Ovis aries: one gene and its partners. The protein of the gene in region 1 interacts with the protein of each later gene in a pairwise test. Links are inferred from orthologs where the notes say so. Each region holds a gene or a part of one and is shown on either strand. Other genes may lie near its edges.

The links. The genes of interacting proteins can lie anywhere in the genome.
Region 2: the proteins of RBPMS (region 1) and SEMA4G interact in binary tests that used the Homo sapiens proteins (3 or more experiments, as listed by UniProt). The two-hybrid records come from large-scale screens. The link is inferred for Ovis aries from reciprocal best matches to the Homo sapiens genes RBPMS and SEMA4G.
Region 3: the proteins of RBPMS (region 1) and NEDD9 interact in binary tests that used the Homo sapiens proteins (3 or more experiments, as listed by UniProt). The two-hybrid records come from large-scale screens. The link is inferred for Ovis aries from reciprocal best matches to the Homo sapiens genes RBPMS and NEDD9.

What each region holds. Positions count from the first base shown.
Region 1 is NC_056079.1:25,813,469-25,818,487, reverse strand, and holds part of RBPMS (RNA-binding protein with multiple splicing), read right to left. Parts: intron 1,262-5,019; coding exon 1,128-1,261; intron 1-1,127.
Region 2 is NC_056075.1:21,582,281-21,586,004, forward strand, and holds part of SEMA4G (semaphorin-4G), read left to right. Parts: intron 1-237; coding exon 238-353; intron 354-530; coding exon 531-706; intron 707-899; coding exon 900-961; intron 962-2,433; coding exon 2,434-3,263; 3' UTR 3,264-3,724. UniProt on the Homo sapiens protein: Cell surface receptor for PLXNB2. May play a role in axon guidance.
Region 3 is NC_056073.1:44,300,635-44,305,653, forward strand, and holds part of NEDD9 (enhancer of filamentation 1), read left to right. Parts: exon of another isoform or gene 1-2,782; coding exon of another isoform or gene 2,783-2,785; intron 2,786-3,563; coding exon 3,564-4,010; intron 4,011-5,019. UniProt on the Homo sapiens protein: Scaffolding protein which plays a central coordinating role for tyrosine-kinase-based signaling related to cell adhesion. As a focal adhesion protein, plays a role in embryonic fibroblast migration.

The sequences.
Region 1 (5,019 bases):
CGTTTACCGCTGCTTCTGTTTATACTCCCCACCAGCCCCTGAGCAACACAGGAGGCAGCTCTGGGGTTGGGGGAAGGCGGGCAAATTACAGCAAAGGTGGAGGCTGCCAGCAGAGGACCCAGAGGTGGTACCCTTCCCCAGCACGGCAGGAGAAAGACGGCTCTTTATTTCGGTTCATGGGAGTTCATTTCTGGAGTGGAATGCGATGCTAGGGGGATCTTTACTCTGGCAAGCCAACTTCCGTGGCTTAATAAAATCAAATCTGCCAGCAGAACCCCTTTTTCACAGCCATCTTATTTGTATCTCCAAAGCGTGAACAGATGAAGCAGCCCTCTGGCTGAGCCAGAGGTGCAGAGGGCCTGGAGACCTTCTACCTCCTCTCACCTGATAGGTACAGGTGGGGAAATCAGCCGAGGGCTGGGTATTTTGAGTGGTGTCCACCATGGTCAGAGCTCAGTGGGCCCGGGGCTGGGTCAGGATCCAGGGCTCGGGCTCCTCCAGATCTAACTAGATTCTACAAGCTGGGCTGACCCTGGCCTTTCCCCATGGGTCACATGCAGAAGTCTGCAGAGCTCCCTTCGACCCCACAGGCATCCTTCACAGAGTGACTGTGTCCCTTCTATGGTGAGGGGCCACACTGGCGGACACCATCCCCTCCTGGAGCAAAGCAGTCTGGCCTCGCTCACTCCATATACCAAGGGTGTATATGGAGCTTCTGCCTAACACCAGGACTCCGTTTCATGGAAGCCCTTGGGCCGGCTGTGCCTTAGAGACCTGCCAGGGCAGAACATCACATATGACTAGAAACGGTTTACCAGCCAAAGTGGAGCCCCTGTATCAGGAGGGCAAAGCTGTATTCCTCGGGGGGCCACTAGCTGGTACTGAAACTCTTTTAGGACTGAACCAGAGTCTTTTCAATACTCATAGCAATGAAGGGGACACAGATCAAACCTTCTCATGCAGGAAGGCTAAAAACATGTCTCATGGGGAATTTAGGGGGTGCAGAACAAAGAAGGGGGAGAGAGAGGGGGGGAAATGTGGGAGGCAGGGGCAGAAGGGAGAGAGGGAGGGTAGAGGAGGGGGAGAAGGCAGAAGGGAGAGACACAAAAGAAAAAACTCATACCTACCCATGGCTTACGGCTTTGTGCATCTGAATCCACTTGCTCACTAAGCAAAGGGCAGAGTTGGAGCTGCCTCCCTGAGACAGGTAGTAAAGGATGGGGCAGGGGCACAGCCCCGTGGCAGGTGGGGGGCTGGGAACCTAGACACACAGTGGAGGGGGGATGGGTCCGAGTGCACCGGGGTTGGGGGAGCAGTGGCGGCGGCCGGTGATGCCCAGGTGCGGGGCTGGGGCACGGAGCCCAAGGCGCGCTGGTGTTTCACAGGAGCCCGGGGAGAGGGGGGACGCAGGGTGGATGGCATGACTCCCGTTTTGGTGCAGGTGACGGTGACAAGGAGACCCGCCCCCCCTCACCCCGTCCCGCACATCCGCTCCAGCCTCTCCACTGCACACACAGCCTCACACTCTCCAGGGCACCTGCCTGTGGTGGGGACCAGAACCCCGCAGGGGATGGGCAGGCAGATGCTAAGCCAGGGGCCAGAAGCCGGGCTCAGCTTAGCAGAGGTTCAGTCAGCCCAAGGGCTGGTCCTCAGGGAAGGTGATCGGGCAATGGGCCTGAGACCCACTGGGACGTGGCCACTCTTGCACATGCCCAGAAGGTGGGCCCTTCCCCGCCGTGCCGCCCCCTTCAACCAAAGGCTGCCTCCTTCCAGCTCCACGGGGTGCAACGCCATCCCCCTTTCAGCAGGAACTGGCCTAGCCTGTGCTTGTCATCAGCAACGTCCCCATGCCCAAGGAGGGCAAATCAGCAGCAGAGCTCACAGGGCAAAACCCCAGCACAGGCAGCCAGCCCGGGGGGAACAAGTGTTCTGTGCTAATCGCCACTCTCCTCTAAGAAAACAGAGGGTTCATCCTTACGCCCACTCAAGACTGCCGATCTGCTGTGGTTTCTGGCTCCTGGTCACTTGTGGCCACTCCTGCCTGGCGCCTAGGGGCTAGTTAGATGTGTCATAAACATTGGGGAAACCCATGACTCACTGACTCTGGCTCGAGGGACCATCCAGCATGGCTGACCTTTCTCCTAAGGCCACCGTCCTGTTCAGCAGAAAAATGCACGTGTGCTCAACCTCATGTACACAACTGCATGCTCACCGTGTTGTGTGCAATTCCAAGGGCCTCAGAAGTCCCTGAAAGATCCTCTAACATAACAGATAGGATCCAAACTGATACTGCTACTCGCTCTGCACCAGAGATGGCTAGACGCAGCACGCAGACTGCGACATGTGAGTAAGCGACATGGAAGACCCTGGGCGCTTCCACTAGAGCCTCATCCTGACACTTGACAGTCATCCCTGTTTCGATTCACCATCCAGGGGTCACAATGGGGTTCCGCCATCACGCTTCTTGAGGAACGCTCCTGCCCAGGGCAGCAAGGGTAACCCTGGAGTCTCCACCACCTCAGCATCATACCAGCTCCAGTGACTGGTGACAGGAGGAGGAGAGCAGCCAGAGAAGAAATGACTCAGTACAAAAATAAAGTGCTAGAGAAGAGGAGGAGATACCCATAAAACATCCATCCTCTTCCATGTACAGATGAGGTAGTAAGGCCCAGAGGATTCAAGTACAGAGACTTCACATCCTAAACAGTGTTGCCAAGCATAGGCCGACCTTGACTGGGCTCCAGAGGGGGCTCCCTGCCTCGCTCAGGAGCTCTCCTGCAGTGTTTTGAGGAGCAAACACGGTAAAGCATCCAAAGGGCTTCCTTCCTAGGCACAATTCCATCATTATCCCATTTGCCTTTAGAAACAGTCACGAGAAGTGCTTACTAGGTGGCTGGTTCAACTCCTGGGAGCCACCATTATTAAACACCCCTCGGTTTAGCGATTTTCTTCTCTGTGGACTCAAGGGACAAGTCTAGACCAGTGGTTCTCAGAACATGGTCCCCCGACCACCAGCATCACCTGGGACCACCTGGTCCGAAATGTAGAAACTGTTTGGGGGAGGGCTCAAGCGCCTGCATTTATCAAGTCCACCAGGTAACGCTGCTGCATATACGCATGCTCAGCTTTGAAAGACCCTGCTCTAGCACAAGGTTTCCTAAAGGGCAGCCGGAAGAAGCGAGTCACGCTCGGCAGTCAAGTATGTTTAAGAGAAAAACACACCGTCTCAGCAGATTCTAGATCCACGTCAGTACGGGAAAGGCTCCGAGAAGCTGAAACAAACCTGTCTGGCCCGATTTCATCCTGGGCTTCCCAAGTTTATCGGATCACGTCATCTTTTAAACTACGTAACAGTGTTGAGAAATGCTGGTCTGGAAGGTGCCTTCCAGTGGTGACATTTGGCGGAGGCGGGAGGCTGGGCATGCTGATGTGTCAACCAGCTCTTGAACGAAACTAATCAGAGCTAGGCGATCACCAGACCAGCTGGTTCCCTGGCTGCCTGATCTACAAGTCGCAGCGGCAACTTCCCTTTCCTAAGGCGGGTGCTGGGCCTGGACGCAGACTTCCCGGCACCACATTCAGAACCGAGCTCTCTCTCTCCTCTTGAAGGCATGGAGATCTTAAGGCGGGTTTCTCCCACTGTCCCCAACACAGAGCCCTGAAGACCCTGCCAGAGCTTTCTCAGCTGCGAGCCACCGGTCACCAGCCACTAGCCACTCATATGCTATTTATTCATGATCAACTCTGCCCCCACCGACTCCGGCTCTGAGGCGCCGCTCTTAAGCGGTATCACCAAATAAACAGGTCAGGTCCCACAGCAAACTCCGCTGCAGGCTGTGGAGAGGCAGCCAAGCCGAACACCTCCTCTGGTCCAAGGAAGTCCAAACTCACCCAACAGACCCCAGTGATGATTCGCAATCACAAAAAAGATGATCCTCATGATGGGATGAATTACAGGATTCTGTGAAACAGCAGTCTTCCCTATTTCTAACAAGGCGTTCACCAAAACCAGAACACTTGCCAGGAATTTCTCTACCCCACAAGATGAGGCCCATTGAGGACCATTCCCTACCACCCCCCCAGTCTCCCCTCCGCCCCCTCCTACTCTTTCCAAGGACAAAGACACAGAACTGCAATCAGCATTTCTTACTATTTCTTTTACAATACTCTTTGCCTGGGGCGATTAAGCAAGTGGCTATTGTTACCTAGACAAAAATGTCAAGATTTCTGTGAACTGGTTCAAAGGTTGAAGCTTGCCACCTGACCAGGTAGGGGTCGGGGGGAGAGGAGGCCCAAGGACCTTGCACCTTCTCCAGGTCTGAACAGTGTGAGGCTACTGAGGTCTGAGTCCAGGCAGCCACAAGGTCCAGATCCCAAGAGCAAGGTCCTAGGCCAGTGAACCCCTCCCACTCAGACCAACCAAGGCCGGGCTTAATTAAACATAACCCTTCAGGGATCTGCTTCTCTTCTGGCCTTTTCAGATCTCTCCCCATCTCTCCTCGGCACCAGCTCAACTCGCGCTTCCACACAGGCATGCGAAATGTGCTCAGACATCCCAGAAGTTCACTCAGGACGCCACTCGGGTTGAAGGCACCCAGGCGTGTAACACCCTGTGTCAGATTAAGTCTGCAGTGCTGGCTGGTCATCCATATTTAATTCTGTCAGTCTGTTAATTTTTAACTATGTTTGCTATCAAGGGCCATTAGAGGTCTCCAGGAGCCGGGGTCGGTGGAGCGAGAAGCGCTCGGTGGCAGAGCGGATGGAACTTGGAAGTTGGGGTGTCTCACTTTCCCCTCCTGTCACCGAGTTCTGGCCTTCCCCACCGGCAGCGCCGGCCTTGAATAAAACATGATCCCATATGGAGCTCGTTCTCCTTTTCGCCCCGTCACCATGGGTTTTCTTCATGGAGTTCACTTGGTTTTTATGGCGCCTGCGTCTTTTAATTCCAAAGTTTCTTGGTAGCCTTTCTTGGTTTTGCTCCCGAAGCAGTTTGAATCCATGTCCTCTCAGATGGTATCT
Region 2 (3,724 bases), on another chromosome or scaffold:
GCTGACTCCTGTCACCAACCACAATGACATTTGACCCTGGTCACTAATGCTTCTAAATCCAATAATTCTTGCCATGACTAGTGTGGAGTTTCCAATCTCGGGAGAACCCACTGCTACTGGCTGAATCCTTGTCCCTGACCTCAGGACTCCAAGCTGTTCCCGTTAGGCTATTTATTGCAGGGGGCTGAGAGTAGCTTCCACTGCTGGGAGTCTGACCTTCTGCCATTCCCATACCAGCTGATGGCTGGATCCACAAGGCTGTGGTCCTGGGCTCTGGGATGCACATTATTGAAGAGACACAGGTGTTCAAGGAGCCCCAGTCTGTGGAGAACCTGGTCATCTCTCCGATGCAGGTAGCTCCTGACTCATGACCCTCAATATTCTGGTCTTGCCAGAGTAGACAGAGGGAGGTGGGAGGCTGGACACTGGCTGTGTGTGTGTGTGTGTGTGTGTGTGTGTGTGTGTATGTGTGTGTGTGTCTGTAAGTGGGAGTGAGGTGCTGCCAACCAGCTGTTCTCTCTGACTCCTAGCATAGCCTCTATGTGGGGGCACCAAGTGGCATCATCCAGCTACCACTGTCCAGCTGCTCCCGCTACCGCTCCTGCTATGACTGCATCCTGGCCCGAGACCCCTACTGTGGCTGGGACCCCAGCACCCATGCCTGCATGGTGACCACCACCGTAGCCAACAGGTCCCAAAGTAGCAGGTGAGAGGCATGGGGGTTGGGGGGGGGCGGTTCGAGGGTCCCATTTGCCCCGGGAATCAGGGCCTAAGGGGTGAAGGAGGGCCTGCCAGCTGAGGGAGTAGGGTCCAGTTGTTAGTAACAGCTTTACTGACCCTTCCACTGGGCAAACTACAGCCATTTCCCTTGTTCTTGAATCCCAATCCTCTGTCTCCAGGACAGCACTCATACAGGACATCGAGAGAGGAAACCGAGGCTGCGAGGGCAGCAGGGTCACAGGTAAGTGCCATCATGGCCGTGTGTGGGTCTGGCAGCAGTCTGTCCCCTTTACCATCTGATGCCATCTGTATGTGCATATATGTATCTGAATGACTCTGTGCTTTCAGTGAGAATGACCGAGCAGAGAGTAAGTATTCAACAAACATTTGTTGCAAAACGAAAAGCTATAAATATGCAAACAGGTTCAAGATGTGAAGTTTTTCCTCACTTCTGGAGCTTACAGCCAAGTATGTGCACAGGCAATTAAATGATCACACAATAAATTACAACTCTTTTCTTTGGCTTTTTTGATACAAAAGAAACAATTACAACTATGACAAGGGTTTGAGAGATAATAGGTTCTTCCCCAAGGAAGATCAGATGACTGAGCTGATATCTGAAGCAAGAGCAATAATCATAATAATCATAGCTAATATGTACCGAGGATTTACCATGTGGCAAGCACTGATCAAACACACGCATTTCCTTTGTTCTCAGAGCATTCCTATGAGACAGGTGCCATTATTACCATCTCCATGAGAGGCAATCTCTCCGAGTAACAGAGAGAATAAGTAAACTACCCCAAATTGATCAGCTCTTAAGCAGTAGGCTCAAATGAGCCTAACCCCAAGCAGGCTGATTGGAATCTGTGCTTTTGTTCACTGTTACGCTTTCTCCTCGGAGTTAACCTGGCTAATACAGGGCACGAGGAAGGGGACGACACCCAAGTAGAGGGAAGAGCAAGCTTGGTGTTTGAATGAGAGAAGAGGCTGGAGAGATGGGCAGGACTGTGCCGAGGCAGGGGGATGGGATCATCAGTTTAGTGTATTTTATTTATTTATTTATTTATTTATTAATTTAAAACACAGATTTGACTTTATTATTTTTCTCACTCTGCATTTAATATATCCTATTCATTTTCTTTTTTTAGTTTAGTGTTTTTAAAAGGTCAGCCCACTGCTGCGTAAAGAATGGATTAGGTGAGGGCCAGCAGCTGGGGAAGGAGAGACGTGAACAGGTCTGAGAAAGATTCTGGAAGCAGAATCTTAGTGAGGGTTAGATACAAAGGTGAAGGGGAGAAAGAGACAAGGGAAACTCAGGTTTCTGGGAAATGGCTGGTGGTGCCATACAACTGGTGATGACAATTCAAGAAAAATACCCAGTGTCATCTAAGAGGGAGCTTTTGGCCTCAGTTCCTGTGACATGTCCAAGAGATGTATGGCACGTAGAAGAAAGTCAAGTCTACGCTCAGTAGAAAACTCTTTGTTGGAGACAGAAATGAGGAATCACTGGTAGATGTCAGGAACTGAAACCACTGAGATGGGCCAACTGAACCTTGCGTGGGAGCATGAGCACAGAGGGCTTAGTCCTGCAACTCTAGATTCTGTGTGTGGTGCTGGGGACCTAACAGTGAACCACCTGGCTTGCCATCTCCAGTGCCTCCCAGGATAAGCAGGCACTGACCACATTCTCCTGTCCCTTGCTCCCTCCAGGGCCACCACCACCACTGAAGACCCGTTCTGTGCTTCGGGGTGATGATGTCCTATTGCCCTGTGACCAGCCATCCAACCTGGCCCGGGCCTTGTGGCTGCTCAATGGGAGCATGGGCCTGAGCGATGGGCAGGATGGCTACCGCGTGGGTGTGGATGGGCTGCTGGTAACAGACACGCAGCCTGAGCACAGTGGCAGCTACGGCTGCTATGCTGAAGAGAACGGCCTCCGCACCCTGCTGGCCTCCTACAGCCTCACAGTGCGGCCAGCCACTCCAGCGCCTGCTCCACAAGCCCCTGCCATGCCTGGGGCACAGCTGGCACCGGATGTGCGGCTGCTCTACGTGTTAGCCATTGCTGCACTTGGTGGCCTCTGCCTCATCCTGGCTTCCTCCCTCTTCTACGTGGCCTGTCTTCGGGGAGGCGGACAAGGGCACCGTCGAAAATACTCACTGGGTCGGGCTGGCCGGGCAGGGGGCTCTGCTGTGCAGTTGCAGACAGTCTCAGGCCAGTGTCCTGGAGAGGAAGATGACGGTGATGATGGAGAAGGGGCTGGGGGCCTGGAGGGTGGCTGCCTCCAGATCATCCCCGGAGAGGGAACCCCAGCCCCGCCGCCACCACCCCCCCCACCGCCACCAACTGAGCTGACCAATGGGCTGGTGACGCTGCCCAGCCGGCTGCGCAGGATGAATGGCAACAGCTACGTGCTCCTGAGGCAGAGCAACAATGGAGTGCCGGTGGGGCCCTGCTCTTTTGCGGAGGAGCTCAGCCGCATCCTGGAGAAGAGGAAGCACACACAGCTCGTAGAGCACCTGGATGAAAGCTCTGTCTGAGCCCAGCCTCCCAGGACAAATGCTCTTCCAAACCAGCCTGCCTGTACCAGGCTGGGCCGCTGGCTCCCCAACGGACACCTTACCCTCATCCCCGCAACTCCAGGCCCTTCTCCCAACTTTGTGATGTCCCTGTAGGGCTGGCCAGCGTCAGGCCCAGCCAAAGCCCCCTTCTCAGTCTCTCCACAGACCCATCTGTGAGCAGCCCAGGTCAACCGGTGCTCCTCAGAGGTAGGTGCCCCTCAGGCTCTGCAGTCCCAGCCCCCACTCCTCTTCCCTTTTAACCTAAGCACTTGGGAGGAGAGGATGCCATCCTCCTGCCCCAATCATCTGCTTACACCCTTCCTCTTTCTCCCAGGCAGGGCTCTGCAGGTCCAGGTGGCCTCAAGGTCACCACCCTCTGCCTGGCCCTATGTGCTGGACGGTCCTGAAAACAAACCAGACCTCTGCCAGCCACCAGAGCC
Region 3 (5,019 bases), on another chromosome or scaffold:
CCCACTATGTTCAAGGACTGACTTGAATGAACTCATTTAATCCTCACTGCAAATCCATGACATAGGGATATTATCCTCATTCTCATTTTACAGATGAGGAAGTTCTGGTGCAAAGGTTGAAGGGAGTAATCTGCCCAAGTCACACAGCCAAGACCCCAAACCCCAAGAATTGGCTTATTCCCTAGACATGACAAAAAGAATCGTCGTCTTCAAAGCTTTACTGTAAAATGGAAAGGAGCCCAGTTTGCAGAACAGTATGAACTAGAACTAAGGTGGCCTGGAAGGCCAAGAGACTACAGTTCTGTTCCCATCTCTGACTCCACCGAGGTGTGGCCTTGGGCAGATGATTAACTGTCCCCTCTGCCAGATGTGTTTCCTCATCTGTGGAACAGGGAGGCCGGGTCCAAGTGTCCTCTGAAGGTCCTCTGAAGGAGCTGTAACCCCTCTGTGTGTGAGGCTGCTGGCTCCCTGTAGCTCATGCAGGTGGTAAATAACTTATTCCCGTTAGGCCGAGGCTGAGAAGAACTCTCAGTGTTGAGGCACCAGGCTGGCAGGGGAGCCTCACCGGACTCCCTGAATCCCAGTCTCTGTGGGCACGGAGGAGGAGCTAGTCAGAAGACACCCACGGTGCGTCCACAAGCGGCTCCCTGGGTTTTCCACGAGAAGCGGCTCTGGCAGCCTGTCTAGAAACCTGAACGTGCGGCTTAGCTGGTGGTGGTGGAGGGTCATGGGGGCAAGAGGCAGAGACCATCTAGACTAGCCTTCATGCGGGGATTGCTAGCCGCCTCGAGCTGGTTGTGGCCCGTGGCTCCACTTCAGTGCCTCCCAGAGCTCCACAGCCGTGCCCAGCTCCAGATGCCTGGAGCTCATGTATGCAAATAAGGCTTGTGGTCTTTCACGCTTCTAGTCTCCTCTGTTTCTGTTTTTGATTTTTGGCCACGAGCAACATAGGGGACCTTAGTTGCCCAGTCAGAAATGGAAACCAGGCCGCCTGCATTGGAAGGGAGAGTCTTATCCACTGGACCACTGGGGAAGTCCCTGTTCTGTTTCTTTTCTTTCCCTTCTTGATCACCAGTATCAAGCTCTGGACCCTCAACTCCCATAGATCTGGTTCCAACCCTGTCACTCCTGATGTCAGGAGGCATTAGGGCCTCCTTGCCAGCCATTCCCAGTCTTTGCATGGGCCTCGGAGAAAGGGACAGAGTCCAGAGTGGTCAGCCTTCTCCCTGCTCTGTCACCTCAGGACAGTTTTGGTGGAGTCACGTATGGATGTGAGAGCTGGGCTATAAAGAAAGCTGAGCACAGAAGAATTGATGCTTTTGAACTGTGGTGTTGGAGAAGACTCTTCAGAGTCCCTTGGACTGCAAGGAGATCCAACCAGTCCATCCTAAAGGAGATCAGTCCTGAATGTTCATTGGAAGGACTGATGTTGAAGCTTTGGCCACCTGATGTGAAGAGATGACTCATTTGAAAAGACCCTGATGCTGGGAGAGATTGAAGTCCAGAGGAGAAGGGGACAACAGAGGATGAGATGGTTGGATGGCGTCACCAACTCAATGGACATGAGTCTGAGTAAACTCCGGGAGTTGGTGATGGACAGGAAGGCCTGGCATGCTGTGGTCCATGGGGTCACAAAGAGTTGGACACGACTGAGCGACTGAACTGAACTGAACTGACTGAATTTCCTTCCCATCATTTAGATACAGAGGAAAAGAGTCTTGTCTTCTTCAACTCAATGAATTTTCTTTCAAGGACAGATCACCCACAAGATGGGAGAAGAGAAACGTAAGAGATTTTCGGGTTAGGACTCATCCTTAAATGGTTCCTCACATCATGTTACAGTGCTGTGTGTTTTTATTTTTTTGTGTGTGAACCTTTGTTAGAAGGAACCCGAAGCTTCCTAGAATATAAATACCAAGTACAGCTTTCACCTGGAACACAAACCCCTCAGTATCCTTCAACTTCCCTTTTCTGCCCTCCTGTCTACATTACAGGCTTCCTGGATCAGAAAACCGTCAAGAACAAGGACTGCAGTCTTATTCTTAAAGAGCATCACCAGGCTTCCTGGGCACTGAATTCCAGGGCTTCATCTCCTTTCCTCCTCTCCTTTCCTGTTAAGCTGTTGCACTGTACTCAGAGGAGCTTGGTTAACAGAGTAAAAGTAGGAACCTCCCCAACCACTGAGCAGGGGACAGACCCACAGCACAGGACCTGTGGTTATGGGGCATAGTACAGGGGGAGATGGTGCGTGCATGTCAGTGATGAAGGGCTGAAAAGCAGGAGGCTGAAAGATCAAATTCACATTTTTAGAGAAGAAAACACGGGGGCAGAAATCCAGACAACAACAGCCCCAAATTCCACGGGTATGTCATCAGAGCACACTCCATCCAATCGGCAGTCTTTTCTCCCGCAGCCGATCATCATCACCCCAACATCGAGGGCATCCCAACTGTCTAGTGAAGCACTGAAGAGACCGTCTTGAGTTTTCCGATGGCTGGAGATGAATTTGCAACGTTCCAGGGCTCTGTGTGTGCTGGGAAGGAGCCGGCATCGGGGTGGGGAAGGCTACCCTCATGCCTCGAGACGTGACTGATGCCAAGAAATGAAATCGCCCAGCCTTTGAAAGACTTCCAAGAACGTCGGCATGTCCTGCCTACCCGCTCCCCGCCGAATGCCTGCTTTGGCTGGCTGCTCCGTACTGAAAGTGCCAGACAGGCCTTCACACAAAGAGAGAAAGTGTCTGGGGCCCATGAAAGGGGAAGGCAGAGCCTTTCCGATGTGAATGGTGAGATTCAAGGAGGAGGAAATAAAGTGGCGGGGTGAGGAGGGGCCCTCAGGAAAGGTGGGAACAAAGTACCAGAGGGGACGGGGCGGCCTCTGCCTGCCCACGTGGGGTAACCTCTTTGGAGCTCCGCATGCTCGGGTCTGGAGGTGTGGACCACCGTCACTGCACTCTGCACAGGATTATCATGGAAACATCCCCCGCTTGTAGAGTCTCCCTGTATCCGAAGACCTCTTGATCAACTGAGAGTATGAATTGTTAAGGCCTGCCAAGGCAGAGATCAGTGTACTTCTGTTTCCATTTTAATACTGGATATAAACGCCATTTGTGCTGTTTGTCTGGGGGGAATGTTCTTTGACTCTCTTTACCTCCAATATACTTTTAAAAAATGTCTGTTGCAGTCCATTTGAATATCTTGGAATATATTTTTCTTCCTTCGGCTGGATTGGAGCAAGGAAGAAAAATGCTTTGTAGAGTGAACTGCTCTCCAGCTCCTTTGCCGAGCTCCTCGTAATTCCCTTGGCACAGCCTCTGCTGTTGGAACACAGCACTCGGTGGTGTTCCGAGCTTTTCCGAGGAGGCGGTCTGATGTCATTGGTGGCAGACACAGTACGTATGGATCTGTCTTTTGTCTGCACCATCTGTTTTTCTCCTTACAGCCCATTGTTTGGATCCTCCTCTTTCCAGGAAGTGTGCCTCTCCATCAGAGCACGGGCTTAGGTGTTTCAGGGACTCAGTTCATCTGCTAACCTGCGTTCCCCCTCTCTTCTTTCCTGCCTAGAATCTTATGGCCCGAGCCTTGTACGACAATGTCCCGGAGTGTGCCGAGGAGCTGGCTTTCCGCAAGGGAGACATCCTGACTGTCATTGAGCAGAACACAGGAGGACTGGAGGGATGGTGGCTCTGCTCCTTACACGGCCGGCAGGGCATTGTCCCCGGCAACCGGGTGAAGCTTCTGATTGGCCCAGTGCAGGAGACCTCCTCCAATCAGGACCTGCCCACTTCGGGACTGGGGCCACCGCCCTTTGGCCAACAGAAGCTCTATCAAATACCAAACCCACAGGGCGCCCCTCGAGACACCATCTACCAAGTGCCGCCTTCCTACCAAAATCAGGGAATTTACCAAGTCCCCACCGGCCATGGGACCCAGGAACAAGATGTGTATCAAGTGCCACCCTCAGGGCAGAGAGGCGCTGGGGGCGCTAACGGTCCCCACCTAAGTAAAAAGGTGAGTGAACAACAGCTGGATTTCTCTTCTTATTTAATTTTTTCCATTGCAATCAAAATATGTGTCTATGTGCTCCTAAAATAAGAACTTGGAGCTTCCAAGAAGCCGTCGAAGAAGTAAGTAAATCTTCCAAGAAGTAAGAATGTCTGAATACTCTAGCTTGCACGTTTTTTTTGACAGGGGAAGTCATTTTTCCATTCATTGGTCAGTAAAACCTTCTTGAACACCCACCCCATGCCAAGTACTGTTGATCCATAGCCCTTACAGGTTCCCGAGTTGTGCCAGGTTATACCGCGTCGTCAAGTGTTCCCATCTTTCTGATAGCCCTGCTTTTACACGTGGGCTCTGCACTCCACAGTCCAGTCTTTTCTCTTTCTCCCTTGAGTAGTACAAGGCACCATACTTTGCACAAGCATAGTGAAGCAGCAAGGACTCTCCTTTCACTAAAAGCTCGATTATGACCCCACTGGCCATGACACCACACGGCTGGCTGCATGAATGCACGAGAAGTCGAGGCCGCAAGGAAGGGGGAGTGGGTGAAGCCAGCCACCGTGTTCTGGAGAGCCATCAGCCTCAAGGTCGACTCACTTAACACAGAGACTAGTGAATTCAGAGAAGAGCCAGCCTCTTGTCCTTCTAGTAGTTCCTATAACAATGCCTGAGGCGGTGGGTAAAAATAGTGGAGCTAGGGTATTTAGAAAGGCATCATACTAAAAAAAAAAAAAAAAAAAGGTGAGGGCACTTCCTTGGTGATCCAATGGTTAAGGCTTCGCCTTCCAATGCAAGGGTGCATGCAGGTTCTGTCCCTGGTCAGGGAACTAAGATTCCTACGTGCCTGTCAGATAAGAAAAAACAAACAATCAAACATGAAACAGAAGCAAGATTGTAGCAAATTCAATGAAGGCTTTAAAAATGCTCCACATCAAAAAATCTTAAAAAAAAAGAAAGAAAGACCTCTTCAGCACTCTCTGTAATTCCAAATGCTGTAAGAATTTGAGATAAGCAGACC